4 linked regions of the Caenorhabditis elegans genome follow. The protein of the gene in region 1 purifies or fractionates together with the protein of each later gene. This does not show direct contact. Each region holds a gene or a part of one and is shown on either strand. Other genes may lie near its edges. The genes, in order: asp-12, ttc-1, Y50D7A.10 and ZK1320.3.

What was found.
Region 2: the proteins of asp-12 (region 1) and ttc-1 fractionate together in Caenorhabditis elegans (co-fractionation; one large-scale study listed by BioGRID). This does not show direct contact.
Region 3: the proteins of asp-12 (region 1) and Y50D7A.10 fractionate together in Caenorhabditis elegans (co-fractionation; one large-scale study listed by BioGRID). This does not show direct contact.
Region 4: the proteins of asp-12 (region 1) and ZK1320.3 fractionate together in Caenorhabditis elegans (co-fractionation; one large-scale study listed by BioGRID). This does not show direct contact.

What each region holds. Positions count from the first base shown.
Region 1 is NC_003283.11:8,268,270-8,272,893, reverse strand, and holds asp-12 (Peptidase A1 domain-containing protein), read right to left. Parts: upstream 2,252-4,624; 5' UTR 2,250-2,251; coding exon 1,936-2,249; intron 1,888-1,935; coding exon 1,674-1,887; intron 1,622-1,673; coding exon 1,244-1,621; intron 1,168-1,243; coding exon 886-1,167; 3' UTR 838-885; downstream 1-837. Other genes in the region: asp-5 (Peptidase A1 domain-containing protein), read right to left, coding at 1-147, 194-507; asp-6 (Aspartic protease 6), read left to right, coding at 3,959-4,266, 4,312-4,441, 4,549-4,624.
Region 2 is NC_003279.8:10,674,101-10,678,926, forward strand, and holds ttc-1 (TPR_REGION domain-containing protein), read right to left. Parts: upstream 2,712-4,826; 5' UTR 2,704-2,711; coding exon 2,578-2,703; intron 2,238-2,577; coding exon 2,109-2,237; intron 1,598-2,108; coding exon 1,496-1,597; intron 1,445-1,495; coding exon 1,178-1,444; 3' UTR 1,068-1,177; downstream 1-1,067. Other genes in the region: C34B2.3 (Protein kinase domain-containing protein), read left to right, coding at 1-103, 356-460, 510-596, 644-724; lonp-1 (Lon protease homolog, mitochondrial), read right to left, coding at 2,963-3,106, 3,154-3,318, 3,368-3,610, 3,657-3,896, 4,289-4,547, 4,599-4,826.
Region 3 is NC_003281.10:313,368-322,038, reverse strand, and holds Y50D7A.10 (ADF-H domain-containing protein), read right to left. Parts: upstream 6,580-8,671; 5' UTR 6,578-6,579; coding exon 6,478-6,577; intron 5,104-6,477; coding exon 4,921-5,103; intron 609-4,920; coding exon 535-608; intron 480-534; coding exon 420-479; 3' UTR 323-419; downstream 1-322. Other genes in the region: Y50D7A.1 (F-box domain-containing protein), read right to left, coding at 7,926-8,091, 8,246-8,384.
Region 4 is NC_003280.10:9,658,113-9,662,732, reverse strand, and holds ZK1320.3 (uncharacterized protein), read left to right. Parts: upstream 1-2,313; 5' UTR 2,314-2,317; coding exon 2,318-2,481; intron 2,482-2,674; coding exon 2,675-2,763; intron 2,764-2,862; coding exon 2,863-2,964; intron 2,965-3,009; coding exon 3,010-3,140; intron 3,141-3,211; coding exon 3,212-3,289; intron 3,290-3,385; coding exon 3,386-3,448; 3' UTR 3,449-3,487; downstream 3,488-4,620. Other genes in the region: cyp-13A10 (Putative cytochrome P450 CYP13A10), read left to right, coding at 1-453, 501-600, 647-946, 992-1,248, 1,296-1,439, 1,578-1,818; ZK1320.2 (uncharacterized protein), read left to right, coding at 3,735-3,898, 4,041-4,129, 4,235-4,336, 4,385-4,515, 4,599-4,620.

The sequences.
Region 1 (4,624 bases):
TCGGTGACGGCTCCAAAGGCAACGGTATCCTCTCCCAAGTATCCCTTGGCGTTTCCAGATCCGTATTGAATCTGCCATGGCTTTCCGTTGGCCTTGAAAGTCGAGGACTTTGTTGATTGGTACTCTCTCTTTCCTTTGCAGGATCCACTGGAAAATAATTATCAAAAATCAAAAACAACAAGGATTTACTCACTCGCAAGATGGTCCTGGAACCCAGAGGTTTGAAGATCCGGTGTCCAAAACAACGAGGAATGGCTGTGGTGGAGTTCCGATGGTGATGTTTCCGAGATACTCGAAATCTCCAAAGTCGTTGACGTTTTGTGGAGCATTGGCATACACAGCTGGGTCAGCGTCACGAAGAGCAGCTTTGTGTTGGACGTATGCTCCCCATTCTCCACGTCTCATCATTTGCATCTTGATAGATTCACGGTAGATCAGCTTGTGCTGGACAACGGTTGCCGAGCACAGGCCCAAAAGGGCAACTAGTGCTACGAAAGTGGTCTTCATACCTGGAAAAATGGTCGTGAAAGTTAACATTAAATTATAAATAGTAGGAAAAGCTGACAAAACACAGAAAAAAGGTAATACGAATGAAACAGCTCAGTCTATGAAATAGATAAGAATAAGGAGAATTCGTACTACAAGTTAACAAATTCCTATTTTATTTGAGTTGACAATGATTTCTTATCATTTATACTCAATCAGATAACGGTCTGTGACGTGGGTTTTCACTTCACAAAATTGTCCAGAAAATGAAAAAAGAAATAAGGTGTACATGACGATATGTATAAGTTGGACTTTTGACCATAATCACGTAGATCACACACTGAAGAAAAGTAAATTGAAGTATTCATTTTCATTTCTCACAATCGCATTGCATAGAGTTTATTTTGAAGAAGGCTGGAGAGACTTGGCAAAACCAATGCGCTGTTGTCCGATGTCATAGATGTTGCAGTATTGACGGATGAAAGGATCTCCGAAAATCCATGATGGTCCGAATCCTCCGAAATCGAATGAGAAAGCAGCAAAGACACAAGTGTCACCCATTCCAACATCAAGGATATAGTTGACAGGTTCAATAGAATACACATTTCCTCCGATAGTAATGTCCAAAGTTCCCTTAGATGTTGAGCATGGGAGGTAGTAAGCATCATCATCGCTGTGGTACTGGAAAAGGTTTAGATATAAAGATTAAAAAAACTGTTTGTCCCTCACAACGAGTCAAAATTAAACTGATACTCACTTTTGCTCCCAAAGCTTGAGCGAAGCCATTTATCACAGCACTTGGTCCTCCGATGAGCGAACTTCCAGTGTCGGAAATCACTTGAGATTTCTTATTGTTTGAGTATGATCCGAGCTTAAATCCATCAGCAACAAACTGATAATACGTGGCAGATGAAAGTGGTTGATAGGCAATCACTGGTCCGCAGTTGGTAGTGTCAACGGCTCCGTAGGTGAAGACACCTCCTCCAACATTCTTTGCCGTTCCCTTATGTTCTAAAAAGACTGTGAACAGAGGTTGATCGAGAATTTTCTTGTTGATGGCGTTGATCAGTGGTGGGGTAACTCCGTCGACTGCAAGAGATGTGAAGGCAAGCCCGAGAATTCCTTCAGCAGCGTCCTGAAAGTTTCGTTCCGATGAAGAATCAAATAATCTGGGAAATAGATCTTACATTCTTAAAGTTAGACGAAATGTGAGAGGCAATACCGAAAGTGGTAGATGGGACAAGAAGTTGTTGTTCTGAAGCACCACCAAAAGCAACAGTATCTACTCCCATGATTCCCTTAGCGCTTCCAGATTCGTATTGAATTTGCCATGATTGTCCGTTTTTCTTGAATGTTGTAGATTTAGATGAGTCAAACTCGCTCTTTCCTTTGCATGTTCCACTGAAAATGATAAAAATTTAAAAACCATTGTGTAAGGTGGCTACTGACTCGCAGTTACTTCCTGGAACCCAGAGATTCGCAGAACCAGTATCCAAGACGACAATAAACTGTTGTGGAGGAGTTCCAATCGTGATATTTCCTAGGTATTCAACATCTCCAAAATCATTGACATTTTGTGGAGCACTGGCGAACACAGCTGGATTGGCGTCACGTAGGGCAGCCTTGTGTTGAACGTATGCTCCCCATTCTCCTCGCCTCATCATTTGCATCTTTGGCGATTCCCGATAGATCAATTTATGCTGAACCACAGTTGCCGAGCACATGCCAAGAATGGCTACAAAAGCGAGAAGAGTTGTCTTCATTTCTGAAAAGATTTATTGAATATTTCGATGTTTTCAGTGCGTGTTGTGTTTTGAAATAAAAGAGGTTTCATTAATTTTGGTTGAAATCATGTTTGTTTCTTGATTCTACTAGTTTTTCAACGAACAACTGTTTGAAATACAATATCATTTAGGTTGACTTTTGTGCGAGACTGTGTGAATGCCCGGTACGATAAAAAGTTCAGTAGTCCTATTATGCTTGAAATATGGGTATTTGAAAGTGTAATACAAGTATTCAAGAACTAAAATGGTTCTTTCTTCCTAAAATTTATGCGTTTAAGATTAAATACCATAGAAACCTAATATTTTTCGTTCTTCAGCTCATAACTTTGCAAACTAGAATGTCCGTGCAAAGTTTGGAAACTTTGGCCATTATTCTTTCAATCTGACGCAAGAACTCTCACTTTCTTGATCTGATGCGATAAATTATTGATAATAAATCAGAATACGTATCTAGATTCGTAAGAAGCTTATCTAGAAAAGTTCCGGCTCATAGTCAACATGCCTGGCTATTGGGCACGTGATGATCAAGATGTTTGTACTGTCACAGGTTGAGAAGTAAAACAGCGGAAATGATTGAGGAAAACGTTTGATTTAAAGAAATGTCAATAAAGCTATCATGTTGACTGCCAAAATAATACAGAGCCGGAAAAAAAACTGCAGAAAATAGTGATGTCATTTGGGTACACTTGCAAAACAAGCGTACAGTATTAATTGGATTTCCAATTCAAAAGGGTGAACTGTAAAACTTGAAACCATGCCTAGCTTTCTCTGCAATCCACCAAAAATTTTATATTTGGGGTCTTTAGGAAGATAGGCTGAAAATTCATCCTTAACTATTCCCTGGCAAGTTTTCTGGCAAAAAGTTTATCTACATATAAATATGGAGTTTTGCAAAAAAAAATGCTGTGGAACAATTGGAAATGGACATAATTTTCAAATAAAATTCAAATAATGGGCACTATTGTAACTATTTTACTAACTGTGAAGTAAGATGAGATAGAAAGTGCCGTTAAGAACCTTCCAACTCAAAAAGTTTATTCAATTCAAAAACTGTATAATGTTGAAAACTATAATACAGAGCAAATTGAATTGTTGGAAAATCTTACAGTGATGCCTTAAATAAGGCTCTCGTCATTCATTATATCATCCTTTGGACTCTGTCTGTTCAAGTTTTAGCCATGCTCAAACTGTATACTTTCCTATCGCTTACGTAATTCATCACGTATTACTCCGGATTTAGCCAGTAAACCTACGTGTGTACCTGGTATTGACCTATCAGCACTTGACTCAAATGTCATCCATCTCCGGGTACCGTTCACGGAACTTTACGCACTTTTGATTCAGTTAATACTCGAGTTTTATTAGCTCATAAAAGCTGTTTCGTCAGTTTTCAGTCGTTACTTCCAGAAGCCGGAATCATCGGCACTACTCTCTTCACTAAACTTCATTTTTTAGTGATAAGAATCGCACCGATCGGGTACAAACCAAATAAGAAGGCGGTTCTTATCAACCAATTAAACTTACGTCAGTGCGCCCATGAGTTTTCTCAACAAGTATAAAACATAGCACTATCTGACATTTTCTACTTCAATTTTTGCTCTTGAAATTGAAAATTATTTCACTCGTTTATCTACACTTTCAATTTCATTTCCATTTAGAATATTTTTCTGAAATATTTATTTTCAGGTATGAAGACCTTCATCCTTCTGGCCGTTCTTGGCCTTGCATCGGCTTCAGTCCATCAACACAAGATCGTATGGAGGGAATCCAAGAAGATGGGAATGATCCGTACTGGACAATATCCAGCTTACCTTGAATACCAGAGAAATCTCAGAGCTGTGTCCCCAAATGTTCTTGCTAATCTCCCACAAAATGTCAATGACTTTGGAGATTTCGAGTACCTCGGAAACATCACCATCGGAACCCCAGATCAAGGATTCATCGTTGTTTTGGATACCGGATCCTCTAACCTCTGGATTCCAGGACCAACCTGCAAGTGAGTAGATTTCAGTTCTGAAATATTTAAAAAGATTATTTGAAGGACCAACTGCAAGACCAAGAGCAAGTTCGATTCCACTGCCTCCAGCACCTTCGTTAAGAACGGAAAGTCCTGGACCATCCAATACGGATCAGGAGATGCCGCCGGAATCCTCGGACAAGATACCGTTAGAGTAAGTTTATCTTCAATGCATTAATGTGTGCGTTGTGTAATCTTGATATAAATTAGCTGGCAAAGTGAATTTTACAAAAAATCAGTCCTTATCAAATTGATTTTCAGTTCGGAGCTAAGGGAGACTCCCAATTGTCTGTTCCAACCACCACCTTCGGAATTGCCAGCAAGATTTCCGCTGACT
Region 2 (4,826 bases), on another chromosome or scaffold:
CGCATATTCGAAAGTGGAATTCTCAAGAATGGAAGACTTGGAAATGTGGTTCTATATGAGTGTTGAGCTGGTTAAGGGATGTCTTCCGTGGGCTCATTTGAAGGTAAGACTTGTTGAGTAGAATATGGCTCCAAATGCAATCGAAGAATGTCTCTGAAAGTAACTTTGCATCAAAGAACGGCATCACTATACCCTTGGGCTTTTACGGGAGGCAGGCGGTTTCAGGCTTTGGCACATGACTGCCTGCCTGACGCCTGCCTGGAAATCCTCCTTTGCATATAACTTTGCACGGCGAAGTAGGTGTAAATGCATTTTTGACATATATCAAAGCCCTTCTCTATGTATCCTTTTCCAGAAACCAAAAGAAGTGCATGACTATCAAAAGTTGTGCCGAAATGGTCTTCAAATGCGTGAAATGCTCGGAGGTCTTCCACCAGAATTCGTCGACATTATGCAAATAGTAGGCAACTCCTTTGCAACTTTTCCCCTAACAATCCATTCTTTTTCAGGTTGACAAACTTTCATTCACCGACACTCCGAACTACACAGAAATCTACGGACTTCTCACCAACGCGATTCTCTTCAGTGGCAAAAATGTATGTCTTTCACACAATAAAAGTGTTATCATTTATCATAATTACAGGAATTCCCGTACGATTGGGAGGAGGCTGAGATCAACGAGTTCAAGAATCCGCAGAAGCCAAGTGTGGAGCAGGCAACCTAATAGCTCTCTTTCTATGGAAATAAATTGACTTTTTTGAATATTCAAAGTGTTTTTATATCTTATAACGTTATTCCATAAACTCCCAGTACAATACATCTACAGAACTAGAGAAAAGAGAGTTCAAAGATCAGAGATCAAACTACATATGAACAGAACGAAACTGCATTTTATATGTAGTTACATTGTAGTAAACGATATAATTTCATTTCAAAAGATGAGTTATCATATATTTAGGAATGACCCTTTTGTAGATCCCCTCCATCCCTGATACGGTAGCCTTAAAGTTTCGATCTTTTCGAGACCAGAGAACATTTTAGTGTGAGCGATTAAAATTTCACGAATACAAATAGAAATGTTCATTTTAATCTTTAAAATCACGAAATTGAAAGCAAGAAGACTATTAACCGGAATGCAGATAGAAAATGTACAGAAAATTCAAAGAATGTCGGCCAATTATGCATTTTCCTCTTCTTTCTTTTCCTGACTTGCACCTTCTTGTTTATTCGTAGCACCTTTCATTTGAACCGAAAATCCTCCATTTCCATTCGGGACCATCTCAAAACTGTCTGTCGAGAGCCCAAACGGCGATAGACAGAAATTTCCGAAACCCTTCAGTTTTTCCATCACATCGGCTTTCATCGCCTCATTTCGATTATTAATTTTCTCATTGATTTCAGCGATTTTCCGATCAAGTTCGACGCGGCGTTTTGGAAGAGATTCCTGGAAAAAGTTTACTTCTAATTTCAAAAAGAAATCTACCAAAATCGATACCTGTAACTGTTTATAATCTTCAATAGAATTCTCATACTTTTCTGACATATTCGAGTATGCAAACGCCCGTCGTTCCAGTGCTTTCTCGTTGGTTGCTCCAATCTGAAAATTGATTTTATTTGTTTCAAGCTAACTAGCTAATAGTAAGTCGCAAAATTTTGCTATCTAAGGGTCTCAACACGAAAACCGTTTGTTAAATGCAAAAGGACGCCTTTTGAGGATTACTGTAGTTTCCAACTATAGGAGCCGGGTTTTCGATTTATGAGAAATTAGTTTTCCGACATTTCGATTTTTTTTTAATTTTTTGAAAAATATCTTAAAATTTTGCCAATTTTTCCTCTTGTAGAAGATAATTATGTGTTTCCTGATGTTTTTTTCGTAAAAGTAAACAAAATTTGATAAAGAAAAGGATTTTTTTGTCAATTTTCAAAACCCTTTTCTTTTTGATTTTCAGGAAAAATGAAAATCGAAATTTTTGTTGGAAATTTCAGAAATACTTAAAGCTGCAAACTTTTATTCATTTTAACGCCAAATTTTAGTGACAAGGCCGTATTTTGTGGTCGAAATTGGGAAAATTTCGCGTCTGTGTAATATTTCATGCTCTCTTCAGTACCTCAATTGATTTCGACGCAGCTTCCACAGCAGATTCCCATTTTCTTAACTTGATAAGTGCAGCTGCTGAATTTGAAAGAAGAATCGATTGTACTTCTGTGGATGTTGGAGGGCACGAGGCAATGGCTTCCTGGAAAAATTTCAATTGTATACTGTCGAAATAGACCGATCAAGCCGTTAATTTTGCAAGTCTGCGGCGCGTTGTATGCATGTAGATTTACGAAGAATTTTGTACTACACTCGGACAAGTGGGGATTTTTTTTGAGATGATTGTGTAGTTTTCAGCTAAAATTCTTGTTTGTAATTTTTCGATATTTTTAAAAATCAAAATTTTTGTTTTTCAAATTATTGTTTTCTTTACTATAAAATTATATGAAAATTGAATTAATACTTGTCCACGTGTAGTACAAAATCCTGCGTAAATCGACAAGCTTCAAACCGCGCCGCACGTTTGCAAAACATTCCAATACCTGATATTTTTCATTCGCCTTTTCGAATTCTCCATTCGCAAAGAAATTATTTCCTTCTTTTTTCAATGAATCCACTTTTGTTATCTGATCCTCTTCATCCTCGAAAATTTCTTCGATAATTGCCATTTCTAAAGCTGAAAATAATGGTTTTTAAATAAAGAGAATATTATTTAGAATTTAAATGAAAAATATTTGAAAAGATCAAACAACTTGAGATTATTAAAATTAAAAAAAAAACAAAAATAAAAGTAGGAAAATGTTTATAGCCTGAACTTTTTTCTTTTCAAAACGTTTTTAAAATAACAAAACAAGAAAAAATGGATTAGGTGAATCAACAAAATCTATCTGAAAGGTATTAACTGGGGGTGAAAGAAAGGGACACGTATTATTGGAAGAGATGCTCGTAGAGCTCATCATAATGCGAAACGAATCGAATATCCAACTCTGATTTCATGAATTCTGGTAAATCATCAAAGTCTCGACGATTCTCATTTGGAAGGAAGACTCGTTTTGCTCCGACACGGCGAGCCTGAAAAAAAATGAAATTTTTGAACGAAAAAAGAACAGAGGACCCACCGCGATCACTTTTTCCCGAATTCCACCAACTGGCAGCACTTTTCCGGTTAATGAAATTTCACCAGTCATCGCCATGTCCTGCACAACAGGTCGGTCTAAAGCGAGTGAAAGAAGACTTGAGACAAGAGTTACTCCTGCAGATGGTCCGTCTTTTGGTGTTGCTCCCTAGAAAAATGGAATTGGTTAGTTGAAATTATTTCAAGATTAAGCTCACTTCGGGTACATGAATATGAATATGTGCTTTATCGAAGAATTTGTTATCGGGTTGCTCTCTTGCAAGAATTCCTTTTGCAACAGTCAACGCTGTTCGAACACTTTCTTTCATTACATCTCCTAAATTTCCAGTTGTTTCAATACTTCCATCCTTATCATTTGTCAAATCAACAGGTCGTTTCAATACAGTTTCAATATAAAGTGCAGATCCACCCATTGCTGTCCATGCGAGACCCATTATCACCTGAACGGAACGTGAATTAAGTTTTTAAAACAGTTTTTTCGCTTACTCCAGGCGGTGTTACTTCATACATTCGATCTGATGTGAATTTGGGTCTTCCAACGAACTTTTGCAAGTTTTCTGTGCAAACTACAATTTGTTCGGCTGAAGATTTTAAACAATCTGCAGATGATGTAGAGGTGATTGGTTCGGCTTCTGAGTTTTCAGTGATAGCAGTTGTTGCTTTTTCGGCTGGCTCCTCATCCTCGTTTTGTTGTTCAGCAATTTGAAGAGCTGCTTTACGGAAAATCTGGAAAAAAAAGGTAATTTCTATAAGCAATCTAAATATAATTGTCGAAACAGAACAATCAACTCGAGGCGCGGATCTGAGACCCGAAGAACTCGGGGGATGTCCAATTGGGGGATTACCAACTCGGGGGATTGGCCCCGCCCACAGAACCGTGGCTTGCAATACGCCCATTTCTGCAACTGCCGCACGGTTTAAAAATTATTTTTTCTTGTTAATTCTCGCTCTATTGAGAAAAATACAGTTTTAAAACCGTGCGGCAGTTGCAGAAATGGGCGTATTGCAAGCCACGGTTATGTGGGCGGGGCCAATCCCCCGAGTTGGTAATCCCCCCAATTGGACATCCCCCGAGTTCTTCGGGTCTCGCGGATCGTCCTGTTTTTACCAAAACATACTCTTTCAATATGTTGCTGTAAATTTCTGACTCCAGATTCACGACAGTAATGCTTAATGAGCTCTTCCAACGCAGAATCTTCAATTTTCAGTTGTTCTGTGGCGAGAGATGTGTCTTTTCTGAGTTGAGGAATGAGATGTTGATGAGCAATTTCAACTTTTTCCTCGGCTAAATAACCGCTAACATCAATCATTTCCATTCGATCACGAAGTGGTCCCGGGATTTTTGAAATCTCGTTTGCCGTGCAAATGAACAAAACTCTGAAAATTAGAAATAAAATTATAGAACCAAGAGGAGAAGCATCTTCAAACCTAGACAAATCAACTGGAACATCCAAGAAATGATCATTAAAATTCGCATTTTGTTCTGGATCAAGAAGTTCCAAAAGTGCCGATGCGGGATCTCCATGGAATCCAGCTCCGCCGATTTTGTCGACTTCATCGATAAGAACAAGAGGATTCTCAGTTTTCACTTTCTTCATGCATTGAATCATTTTTCCAGGCATTGCACCGACATATGTACGACGATGTCCCTTGATT
Region 3 (8,671 bases), on another chromosome or scaffold:
AAACCAATATATTCTGAAAAAGGGCAATTTTTAAAACTTAGAAAATCAATTTTGAGTCCTCTAACTATAAAACTAACCATTTTATGGGAACTTCAAAATTGTGATTTTTTGCCATAAATTGTCATTTTTGCCACTTTTTAGCAATTTTTGATAGGTTAAACCTAGATTTTCTAAATGCAGCATACATGAATTACCCATTTTCAACAAAATTAGACAACTTTTTATTTTTGCCCAAATTTTTTTAAGCCATCTAATTTAGTTATGGCAAAAAATCACAATTTTGAAATTCCCATAAAATGTTCAAAAACTCAATTTCCGAGAAAAATAAATATTTATTGTCTGAATATTCTGTATAATCGCAAATTAACATAAATAAATTATCGTATAAATATCTTCAGCCGGCGGTGGAAATTCAAAATTCAAAATTTCGATTCGAGCAGTTCGTCGTCGATTTCATCGATATCTCGGATTTCCGTGTTCTGTAAAAGTGTAAATATTGATTATTTTCCGCACAATTTCTAATTTTCTGTTCACCTTTGACACGTGGCATTCGTTGACGATGAAATTACGGCTCCCAGCGTACAGCATTTGGAGTTCCGGGCTGCTTCCTGTGAAAAAATCCTTTTTTTTTTGTTTTCCATTAGGTGGGTGGAGCCTAAACTGAGCAAGGAGAAAGGGGCGGAGCTAAGCAAACATTCTAAATTTTTGTTGAAACCCGTGAATTTTTTTTCACAAATGCACTGCAACTTTTTCCTCACGAGGGACGAGAAGTGGTTTCTAGGCCATGGCCGAGGGGCCGACAAGTTTCAGCGGCCATTTATCTTGCTTTGTTTTCCGCCTGTTTTCTTTCGTTTTTCATCGATTTTTTTCGTTTTTTCTTATTAAAACTGATAAATAAATATTTTTTGCAGATGCTAAAACAATTTCCAAGTGAAAAAATTATGTATTCAGTGGGCAAGCAGCGGTGAAAGTGGTCAATGTAAAATGATGGATTACGGGAATACAAAACCTAAACTTTTTCTGAAACATAATACATATGAAATTACCTGATTTTCATAACGAGACCGCTGAAAAAGTTTTGAGTTTTTCAAAATTCGACATTTTGTGCAAAAATCTCGACTTTTTCACTAAAAAATTTGAATTTTGAAAATCTCAAAACTTTTTCAGCGGTCTCGTTATGAAAATCAGGTACTTTTAGCATCCAAACAGCATATGTATCATGTTTGGGAAAAAGTTTGGATTTTGTATTCCCGTAATCCATCATATTGCATTGACCACTTTCACCGCTGCTTGCCCACTGAATACATAATTTTTTCACTTGGAAATTGTTTTAGCATCTGCAAAAAATATTTATTTATCAGTTTTATTAAGAAAAAACGAAAAAAATCAGTGAAAAACGAAAGAAAACAGGCGGAAAACAAAGCAAGATAAATGGCCGCTGAAACTTGTCGGCCCCTCGGCCATGGCCTAGAAACCACTTTTCCTCGTCCCTCGTGAGGAGAAAGTTGCAGTGAAATGTAAACTTTCAAGCAGAAAAGTGGGGATTTCTAAGATTTCCGGCAAAATCATCCCAGAAAAAATTGCATTCTCAAAGAAATTAGTCAAGAAAGAGGGGGCGGGGCCAAGTCCAGCAAGCCACGCCTTTTTTTCAATTTCAAAAAAATCGAAAATTCATCACGAAATTCTAAAATTTTGACAAAATTTTACATTTCCGTGAAATTTTTTTTGGATAAAATTGGCGAAACCCCGCCCCTTTCTTGGAAAATTCGATAAACATGTGCCTTCAATTAAGTGGACGGAGCCTAACATCACATTTCCTTTAAAAGTTCAAAAATTTAAGCTTCGAATCGTAAAATGCTGACATTTTCGACCACACAAAGTTTTAGAAAATGGGCAAAATCGGCATTTTTGAAAATTTGGCCAAGAAAGGGGCGGGGCTAAAAACAACAATTCGAATTTTTCATTAAAATCTGCAAAGTTTTTCAAAAATATAAAGTTCCAAAAGTAGAAAACTGTAGAATTTTGAGTTCTCCGGCAACAAAAACTCACGAAAAATAGGCGGAGTCTGTAAATTTGCCAAGAAAGGGGGGCGGGGCTAGGCAAAAATTTGAACTTCTAGTGAAAATGCGCAAAATTACTTCAAAAATGTACAGATCCAAGCAGAAAACTGTGGAATATTAAGTTTTCCGGCAGAAAATTCACCAAAAAGTAGGCAGAGGGCGCACATTCGAAAAATTTGCCCCCAAGAAAGGGGCGGGGTCTTACTCACATTCTGAATTTGTTCTGTCAGAAAATTCAAAATTCGCGCCAAACATTTTTTGGATTTTTTCAAAAGTGTTAAAATTCAAGGATTAATTTTTCCAAAACTACAGTACCCCTACAGTACCCCGACCATATCCCCCCACTAATCCCAAACCAATATCCCTTCAAAAGACGAAAAGACAATTTTTCCAAAACTACAGTAATCCTACCGTACCCCTACAGTACCCCGACCATATCCCTCCACTAACCCTAAACCAATATCCCTTCAAAAGACGAAAAGACAATTTTTCCAAAACTACAGTAATCCTTCCGTACCCCTACAGTACCCCGACCATATCCCTTCACTAACCCTAAACCAATATCCCTTCAAAAGACGAAAAGACAATTTTTCCAAAACTACAGTAATCTTACCGTACCCCTACAGTACCCCGACCATATCCCTCCACTAACCCCAAACCAATATCCCTTCAAAAGACGAAAAGACAATTTTTCCAAAACTACAGTACCCCTACAGTACCCCAACAGTACCCCGACCATATCCCACCACTAATCCCAAACCAATATCCCTTCAAAAGACGAAAAGACAATTTTTCCAAAACTACAGTAATCCTACCGTACCCCTACAGTACCCCGACCATATCCCTCCACTAACCCTAAACCAATATCCCTTCAAAAGACGAAAAGACAATTTTTCCAAAACTACAGTAATCCTTCCGTACCCCTACAGTACCCCGACCATATCCCTCCACTAACCCTAAACCAATATCCCTTCAAAAGACGAAAAGACAATTTTTCCAAAACTACAGTAATCCTACCGTACCCCTACAGTACCCCGACCATATCCCTCCACTAACCCTAAACCAATATCCCTTCAAAAGACGAAAAGACAATTTTTCCAAAACTACAGTAATCCTACCGTACCCCTACAGTACCCCGACCATATCCCTCCACTAACCCTAAACCAATATCCCTTCAAAAGACGAAAAGACAATTTTTCCAAAACTACAGTACCCCTACCGTACCCCTACAGTACCCCGACCATATCCCTCCACTAACCCCAAACCAATATCCCTTCAAAAGACGAAAAGACAATTTTTCCAAAACTACAGTAATCCTACCGTACCCCTACAGTACCCCGACCATATCCCTCCACTAACCCCAAACCAATATCCCTTCAAAAGACGAAAAGACAATTTTTCCAAAACTACAGTAATCCTACCGTACCCCTACAGTACCCCGACCATATCCCTTCACTAACCCCAAACCAATATCCCTTCAAAAGACGAAAAGACAATTTTTCCAAAACTACAGTACCCCTACAGTACCCCAACAGTACCCCGACCATATCCCACCACTAATCCCAAACCAATATCCCTTCAAAAGACGAAAAGACAATTTTTCCAAAACTACAGTAATCCTACCGTACCCCTACAGTACCCCGACCATATCCCTCCACTAACCCTAAACCAATATCCCTTCAAAAGACGAAAAGACAATTTTTCCAAAACTACAGTAATCCTTCCGTACCCCTACAGTACCCCGACCATATCCCTCCACTAACCCTAAACCAATATCCCTTCAAAAGACGAAAAGACAATTTTTCCAAAACTACAGTAATCCTACCGTACCCCTACAGTACCCCGACCATATCCCTCCACTAACCCTAAACCAATATCCCTTCAAAAGACGAAAAGACAATTTTTCCAAAACTACAGTAATCCTACCGTACCCCTACAGTACCCCGACCATATCCCTCCACTAACCCTAAACCAATATCCCTTCAAAAGACGAAAAGACAATTTTTCCAAAACTACAGTACCCCTACCGTACCCCTACAGTACCCCGACCATATCCCTCCACTAACCCCAAACCAATATCCCTTCAAAAGACGAAAAGACAATTTTTCCAAAACTACAGTAATCCTACCGTACCCCTACAGTACCCCGACCATATCCCTCCACTAACCCCAAACCAATATCCCTTCAAAAGACGAAAAGACAATTTTTCCAAAACTACAGTAATCCTACCGTACCCCTACAGTACCCCGACCATATCCCTTCACTAACCCCAAACCAATATCAGTTCAAAAGACGAAAAGACAATTCTTCTTCTGAGTCTCTCGGCGGAAAATTCATCTAAAACGTAGGCGGAGTTTGGATATTGTGGAAATATTTACCAAGAAAGGGGGCGGAGCTTACGCAAACTTTTAGTTTCTTGTGAAAGTACGCAAAATTGCTTGAAAACTGTGGAATTTTGAGTTTTCCGGCAAAAAATTCACCGAAAAAGCGGAATATGTAACACATTTTTAAATATTGGCCAAGAAATGGGCGGAGCTTACACAAATTTTGAATTCCTAGTGAAAATGCGCAAATTTTCTTCAAAAATGTAAAGTTTCAAGTAGAAAACTGTAGAATTTTGAGTTTTCCGGCATAAAAATCACCGAATGAGTACGAGGAGTCCGCACATTTGAAATATTTGCCAAGAAAGGGGCGGGGCTAGGCGATATTTGGTTTTTTTTCTAAAATGAGCAGATTTTGACCATTTTTCGTTTAAGTTTAGCTCTACAACTTCAGAATTTACCCGATTTTTCCGGCAAAACATAACATTTTTAGCGTTTTTCTCGAGATTTTTCGACAAATTTCGACAAAAAAATTTTACCATTTGGGCAATAATAAATCAGAAGCATTGGATATGAAATTCGTTCGTCCGAATGTTTTTTGCACCAACTGAGTAGAATAAACCGTGGTTGTTGACTTGGAAGCTCTTCTTTAAACTCTTCAATTGAGCAATCATTGAGCAGTTGCTCCGATTGAAGCTCATGCGATTCCCGGTCGATTTTCACTGAAAAATGGCAATTTTTTGGATTTTTACAACTGAAAAATTGGGAAAAACCGAAAATTTCAGCCCAGAAACTAATTTTCTCACTGCAACTTTTTCCTCACGAGGGACGAGGAAAAGTGGTTTCTAGGCCATGGCCGAGGGGCCGACAAGTTTCAGCGGCCATTTATTTTGCCTTGTTTTCCGCCTGTTTTCTTTCGTTTTTCACAGCTTTTTCCCGTTTTTTCTTATTAAAACTGATAAATAAATACTTTTTGCAGATGCTAAAACAATTTCCAAATAAAAAAAATTATGTATTCAGTGGGCAAGCAGCGGTGAAAGTGGTCAATGTAAAATGATGGATTACGGGAATACAAAACCTAAACTTTTTCTGAAACATAATACATATGCTGCTTAAATGCTGAAACTACCTGATTTTCATAACGAGACCGCTGAAAAAGTTTTGAAGGTTCCAAAATTCAACTTTTTTGGTGAAAAAGCCGAGATTTTCGCAAAAAAAGTTGAATTTCGGAAACCTCAAAACTTTTTCAGCGGTCTCGTTATGAAAATCAGGTAGTTTCAGCATCTAAGCAGCATATGTATCATGTTTCAGAAAAAGTTTAGGTTTTGTATTCCCGTAATCCATCATATTGCATTGACCACTTTCACCGCTGCTTGCCCACTGAATACATAAGTTTTTTACTTGGAAATTGTTTTAGCATCTGCAAAAAATATTTATTTATCAGTTTTATTAAGAAAAAACGAAAAAATCGATGAAAAACGAAAGAAAACAGGCGGAAAACAAAGCAAGATAAATGGCCGCTGAAACTTGTCGGCCCCTCGGCCATGGCCTAGAAACCACTTTTCCTCGTCCCTCGTGAGGAAAAAGTTGCAGTGTTTTTTTCGCAAAAATTTGCATTTTCAATGACTTATGCCAAGAAGTGGGTGGAGCCTCCGCAAGTGGGCGTGACCAAATTTTTTTGGAATTTTTTTTTTGGAATCTATATAAACCTGCATTTTTTCGGCAAGTTTTGAGAAAATTTTTGGTTTCTATTAAAGGGGCGGAGCCTGGGATAAAATGTGGGCGGAGCCTCCAAAAGTAGGCGGGGCTATGGTACTTTCCGATAAGTCTACCAGAATTTATTTTCTAAAACTCATAAAATTTGGCAGATTTCCATTAACGATGCGGAGTCTAGAGAAATGGGCGGTGCCTAGAAAAATAGGCGTGGCCTATTTTTAGAATTGCATTTGTCGCCATTAACTAGGCGTGGCCTTTTTAATCTTATTCTATATTCACGATTTTTAGCAAAAATTGACCCAGAAATAGGCGGCGCCTAGAGAAGTGGGCGTGGCTTAGTTTTCGAAAAATCTGCCATGAAATGGGCGTGGTGGACTTACAAATCAAAGCGTTCATCGTTGTACTCTTCGAGAATCGAAACTTCTTCAAATCCTCCTTCACTCCGTCTGGAATTGAGCATATTGTGAGCGATGACGTCATCTCTGCAAAGTGGGGGCGTGGTTAGGGAGGAAAGGGGCGGGGCTTATGATGAAAAATATTCAAATCGTTTTTGAAAAACGATTCTGGACGACATTAAGAAATTAAGAAAAATAGAGAGAGAGTAAATTTTTTTGAAAAAAAATCCAATAAAGGGGCGGAGCCACACCCAAGAAAGGGGCGTGGCTAGCTTATTATAAAATATCAAAAAATTTCAAAAAAGACAATGAGCAAAGGAATGTCAGAGAAATAAAATACAAAAAAGAAATTGTTGGTATAGAAAAAGAGGCGGAGCCTCATAGGATGGGGGCGGGGCCAAGAAATGGCGGCGGAGCTTATGCAATAAATATACATTACGAACAAAAATGTACAACAAGAAATATTAAAAAAGTTACCAAGCAAGGGTCGGAATCTGAACAATTGTCAAAAACAAAAAGGGGCGGAGTCTTACAAATTGCCACGAAAGGGGCGGAGCCTCGAAAAAGAAGGCGGGGCTTGACAAGTTATCGATTTTCTCGGGAAATTGAGCTAAAATTCCTTGGGAAATACGAATTTTAGGTGAAAATTGAAAAAAAAAAGCATTTTCCGACTAAAACTGCCAAGAATGGGGCGGAGTCAGACAAGTTGCCTCGAAAGGGGCGGAGTCTCGAAAAAAGAGAGCGGGGCTTAGGAAGTTATCGATTTTCTCGGGAAATTGAGCTAAAATTCCTTGGGAAATACGAATTTTAGGTGAAAATCAAATAATTATTCAGTTATCCGACTAAAAGTGCCAATAAAGGGGCGGGGTCTGGAAAATTGTCAAGAAAGGGGCGGGGCTTGGAAATTATTTTGTTTTTTTCGTAAAAATAAGCAAAAGTTGAAGTATTTTGAAAGTTCCCACAAAAAATGAGTGATCTACCCATTTCTGAAAAAAAATTGCCAAGAAAGGGGCGGAGCCTCGAAAAAGAAGGCGGGGCTTAACAATTTATCGATTTTATCGAGAAATTGAGCAAAAGTTTTTGGGAAATACGAATTTTAGGTGAAAATTGAAAAAAAAAAATGCATTTTCCGACTAAAACTGCCAAGAATGGGGCGGAGTCTGGAAAATTGCCAAAAAAGGGGAGGGGCTTAGAAAAAGAAGGCGGGGCTTAACAATTTATCGATTTTATCGGGAAATTGAGCAAAAGTTTTTGGGAAATACGAATTTTAGGTGAAAATTGAAAAAAAAAATGCATTTTCCGAATAAAACTGCCAAGAATAGGGCGGAGTCTGGAAATTTGCCAAGAAAGGGGCGGAGCCTAGAAAAAAAAGAGGCGGGGCTATAAAAGTGATTTTTCCGGAAAAATCGGTCAAATTAGTGGGCGGAGCGTCGTTATTTCTCGGCGATTGGCGTCAACAGAATAGTTTGTCCCATTTTTTCGAGTGTTCCTGGGTAGCGGACACGTCCCGAGTGCATGATGACGTCATGATGGGATCCGACGAGGAAATAACCGTCAGTATCTACAGGAGATGGGTACTGCTCAGCTTGTGGTGTCCAGCTGAAACAAAATTTCGGGTCAGAAAGGGGCGGAGCTTAAGGTGGGTTTTGAAAATTATTGAATTTTGAAGCTCAAAAAACTCGAAATTTTATAAAAAATTTAGCTAAAAATTTTTTTTTTTTTTCAAAAATAAATTTTCAAATTCCCGCCATACCGTAACTCGTCAAACTCTTCAAATTCCACGTGGCACGGTACTTCTGCCACGTAGACGGATAGACGTTTCAGTGCACTATTACGCATCGGAACTCGCGGAGCCAAATAGTCCATACGGCTTGTGTTGTAGTATTTTGAGTCTGAAATTTGCGGAGAAAAATTGGAGAAATTTTCAATTTTCCACGTGGATTTTTAGCGAAAACTGAAAATTTTTAGGAATTTTGAAATATTTTTTAGAAACACAAAATTTTGAAGAAAAAAAAATTAATTTTTCAGAATTTTTAGGGTGTTTTTAAATTTTTTTAACAAAAATTTTATTCTCGAAACCCAAAAAAATGCAAAAAGACGTTAAAATTTAAAATGTTTGAGTTTTTGGTTTTTTTTTTGGAAATTCTCCAAAAAAATGGATTTTTTTAGTTTAGAAAAA
Region 4 (4,620 bases), on another chromosome or scaffold:
ATGGACATATTGGAGACGGCGTGGTATCCCTGGACCTCTAGGTTATCCATTAGTTGGAAGTTTTCCAAAAACTCTCAAATCAGAATATCCTCAATACTTACAAATCAGAGATTGGACAAAACTTTATGGTCCAATATATGGATACACTGAAGGAACCATTAAAACTCTAATTGTTTCTGATATCGACATTGTTCGTCAAATTTTTGTTGAGCAGTATGACAACTTCTATGGTAGAAAACTGAATCCAATTCAAGGTGATCCGGAAAAAGACGAGAGAACTAACTTGTTCTCGGCTCAAGGATTTAGATGGAAAAGGCTCAGAGCTATATCTAGTCCTACTTTTTCGAATAACAGTTTGAGAAAAATCAATGTAACTGTGGAAGACAGTGCGATGGAATTATTGAGACATATTGAAGAACAAACTTCGGAGGGACAACAAATTGATATGTTACAGTGAGTTTTCGATGTATTGGAAAAGTAATTTAAATTTTAAATTACAGATTCTACCAAGAGTTCACAATGGATACTATAGGACGAATTGCAATGGGTCAGACCGACTCGCAAATGTTCAAAAATCCACTTTTGAAGTTTGTCAGAGCGGTTCGTTTTGGTACTATTACCAGTGAAATTCAACATATATTTCCAGATATTCGGAGATAATCGAAAGCATATTCCCCTCATCGGTGGAGTTTTTCCTACTCTTGCTCAAGTTTTTCGATTTTTTATGTTGAAATTTCCATTGTTGGGAGCAGCCAATTTCATTCACGTCAACAAAACTGTTGTGACAGCCGTTCAAAATCGTATAGATCAGAGGGAGAATGATAGAAAAAATGGAATTGAAATCGGAGAGCCACAGGATTTTATCGATTTATTTTTGGAAGCAAGAGCAGATGATGTGGAGCATTTTCAAGAGAATAATGGGGATTTTTCAAAGACTAGTAGCTATGTGAGTTTCAGGAGAAAAATTATTCCTGAATTTAAAAAATTGCAGGGAAACCGTCAACTAACAACTCAAGAAATAGTCGGTCAGTGTCTCGTTTTTTTGATTGCTGGCTTCGATACAACTGCTCTATCCTTATCCTATACTACATTTCTCCTAGCAACACATCCAGAAGTTCAAAAGAAATTACAAGAAGAAATAGAACGAGAATGCATAGAACCATCAATTTCATTTGATCATCTCTCAAAACTAAAATACATGGATTGTATTATCAAAGAGACTTTACGTTTGTACCCTTTGGGAACAATGTAGGAGTTTTAAATTTATACTTCACATAAAAAAACAATTATTCCAGGGCGAACTCTCGGAGATGCATGAGAGCCACTAAATTGGGAAATGTAGAAGTTGAAGTTGGAACAATGGTTCAAGTAGATACTTGGAGTCTTCATACTGATACAAAGATTTGGGGAGATGATGCGAAGGAGTTCAAGCCAGAAAGGTTTTTTTTTCAAAATTAAAAAATATATTCAGATGTATTATTGGCTTAATTTTTGAAAGTTTTAAAAAGCGAATCACTTTGGAGAGTATTCCACCTTTTAAATTATTTAGTAAGAGATCCTACTAGTTATTATTTCAGATGGCTTGACCCCAACTGTGACCAAGTTTTCCAAAAAGGAGGATATATTTCATTCGGATTAGGACCTCGTCAGTGCGTTGGAATGCGATTGGCTTATATGGAGGAAAAGATGCTCTTGGCTCATATTCTTAGAAAATATACATTTGAAGTTGGCACCAAGACAGAAATCCCATTGAAATTAGTTGGAAGAGCCACGACTCAACCGGAAACTGTTTGGATGCATTTGAAGCAAAGGATATGAACTCAATAATTTTCGACCCTCTTTGTTTGTATTTTAGTCATCGAAAAAGCTTTCAAATAAAACTTTCTTGCTTTTTAGAGTCTGAAAATGTTCAGCCTATTTTCTGAGAAACTCGTCTATCCTTTAATTGAAGAACAATTTTGAAAAACATATCAGACTAATTTGGTATTTCTACTAATTTTACTCGCATAAACTTTTGAATCATCTGATTGTGAGCAATATTGGATCAAGAAATCAGTTTTGTTAAGCTGCTGGCTCCCCGGAATCAATGCTCATAAACTTATCTGTAAACAACTTGTCCTTTAACTTTTCCAGTGATATCATTAGTGCTTTCCCATTTTTCTATTTAATATTCTTATCACTATAACTGAATGTCAAAAGAAAACGCTCATAATTTAAAAAACGTCAGTTTTAGACTGATAACTCTCTCCACAATTCATACTAATTTGACCATTTGCTACTTAAATTTTTTGAAGCATATATTTATATTTTCAGGAGAATGAAGTTTCTTCTTATTGCTTGTTTGGCAGTTCCTGCAATCTTAGCTCAACAGACGTCTGCTCCAGGTGGAAATTTGTGTACTTATCCTCCACAAGGAGATGAATCAAACCAAAAGGCTGTTCCTATTCAGGACTTCAGAACGTCTGGATTAGATTTCGTTAGGTCAGTTTATGTTCAAAAATTGGAACAGCTTTAGTAATGATTGGTTTAGGCCGCGGCCAAGTTATGTTGAGCCAACTCTTGATGGTCTTACTAGTTAGACCCAGAAAAATACTTTGGCAACAGTGGGATACTAAACGATTACCAATTTTTGAACCACATAAATAGCCGAATATCTTAATTTAAAAAGTTTCAGACCAAATTGGTGCATCACCCACTGTGCTGACCGCAAATCTGTCAAAGCTGCTGTTCGCTTCCAATTTGCCAATCAGTCAACTGCAGTCCGTAAGTTAACATAGATCAGTACACTAAAGTACATGTAAAAACATTTGGAACATTATGAAAATACCAGTAAACATCCTAGAATTTAATGGGAATTTTCAGCAACCTACAAAGTTCGCCGTACTTTCACCCGTTATTCAGGAATGAAGGTTCATGCTGAGCTGATCAGCGGAAACCCGACCAAGCGTGACGATGATCCTTTTAGTAAGTGATTTCATCTTATGGTATAAATACATGTCAAAATTTCAGACTTCTGTATGGACGATGCTGTGTCGGCCCAGATTGATACTATTGTCAACACCTACAATGACATCGAAACCATGTCAGAAGCCCTCAACTTCTATATCAACAAGCCAGGATGGGCGTATATTATTTACGATGTAAGTTACACAAGTTTTTTTTTGGAAAATATATAGGTGTCTACTATTTCTACTTGAATACATATATTCAGATGGGAGTACCACCAAGCATCATTGAGACTGACAATGTCAAACACGATATGAACTACTGTGAGAAGTCTTCTAACAAGGTAAGTACTCAGAAAATGTTGTAAAATGCAACAAAACCAGACCTGCAAGTATCCGAATTAGAAATTAGACCTCACCAAATTTTACAAATTTTTCAGCAAATGCCGGATGGAACCTACATGACATATCAAGTATTCGCAGGACTTATCAAGGCTAATTGATTTTTTTCTTTTAATTTTTAATAAACGATTTAACTATTTAAAGTTTTACATTGAATATTTGATTCTTATTATTCTCAAAATGAAATCATTAGTGATTTTTCAATATTTAATTTTCCACTCTTTATTTTCCGTTATCAACACATTCAACTGGCAAAAGAGGAGGCCGGTGATGTGGAAAATTTCAGTTTTTAACTGATAACTTCCGATAATTTGACCATTTGCTACTCGCTTTGAAACGTTTTTGAGTATAGTTTCCTTTTCATTTTTATCGAGAGTTTTTAGGAAAATGAAGCTTCTTCTCCTTGCCTGCTTAGCAGTTCCAGCAATTTTTGCTCAACAAACTTCTGCTCCAGGAGGAAATTTGTGCAATTATACTCCAGTTGGAGATGAATCCACACAGGATGCAGTTCCAATTCAAGATTTCCGATCCTCTGGATTGGATTTTGTGAGGTTAGTATATTCCTTTTCAAGATTAAATTAAGAATTCATGTAAAGTCAGAGTGTCTGATCTAGAATTGTTTTATCCTTTTAATCAATAATTTTAAATTTAATTATTCAAATCCAGATGAAAAAATCCATTTCTACTTTTCAGACCAAATTGGTGCATCACTCACTGTGCTGACCGCAAATCCGTCAAGGTTGCTGCACGTTTCCAATTTGCCAATCAGTCAACTGCAGTTCGTAAGTTAGCGTTCAAAAAATATTGAAAGCCACTTCCTAGTTTTGAAAAATATAATTGAAATAAAATATGTGGAACTTTATCTAACTCATTTTCATATATTTCAGCAACCTACAATGTTCGCCGTCACTACACCCGTAAATCTGGAGTCAAGGTTCATGCTGAGCTGATCAGCGGCACTCCAACCAAGCGCGATGATGATGATTTCAGTGAGCTCCTCTTTTTCTAGAGTAAACCTGAAATTCATTTGTTTTCAGATTTCTGCATCGACGACACTGTTTCTGCAACAATCGATACGGTTGTTAAGACTTACAATGACATCGAAACCATGTCAGAGGCTCTCAACTTCTATATCAATAAGCCAGGATGGGCTTATGTCATCTATGATGTAAGTCATATCAGAATCAGAATTGGCTCACTGCTGATAAAATCCAAAAATTCAAATCCGAACTTTAACCCTATCCATTTAAGATGGGAGTTCCACCAAGCGTCA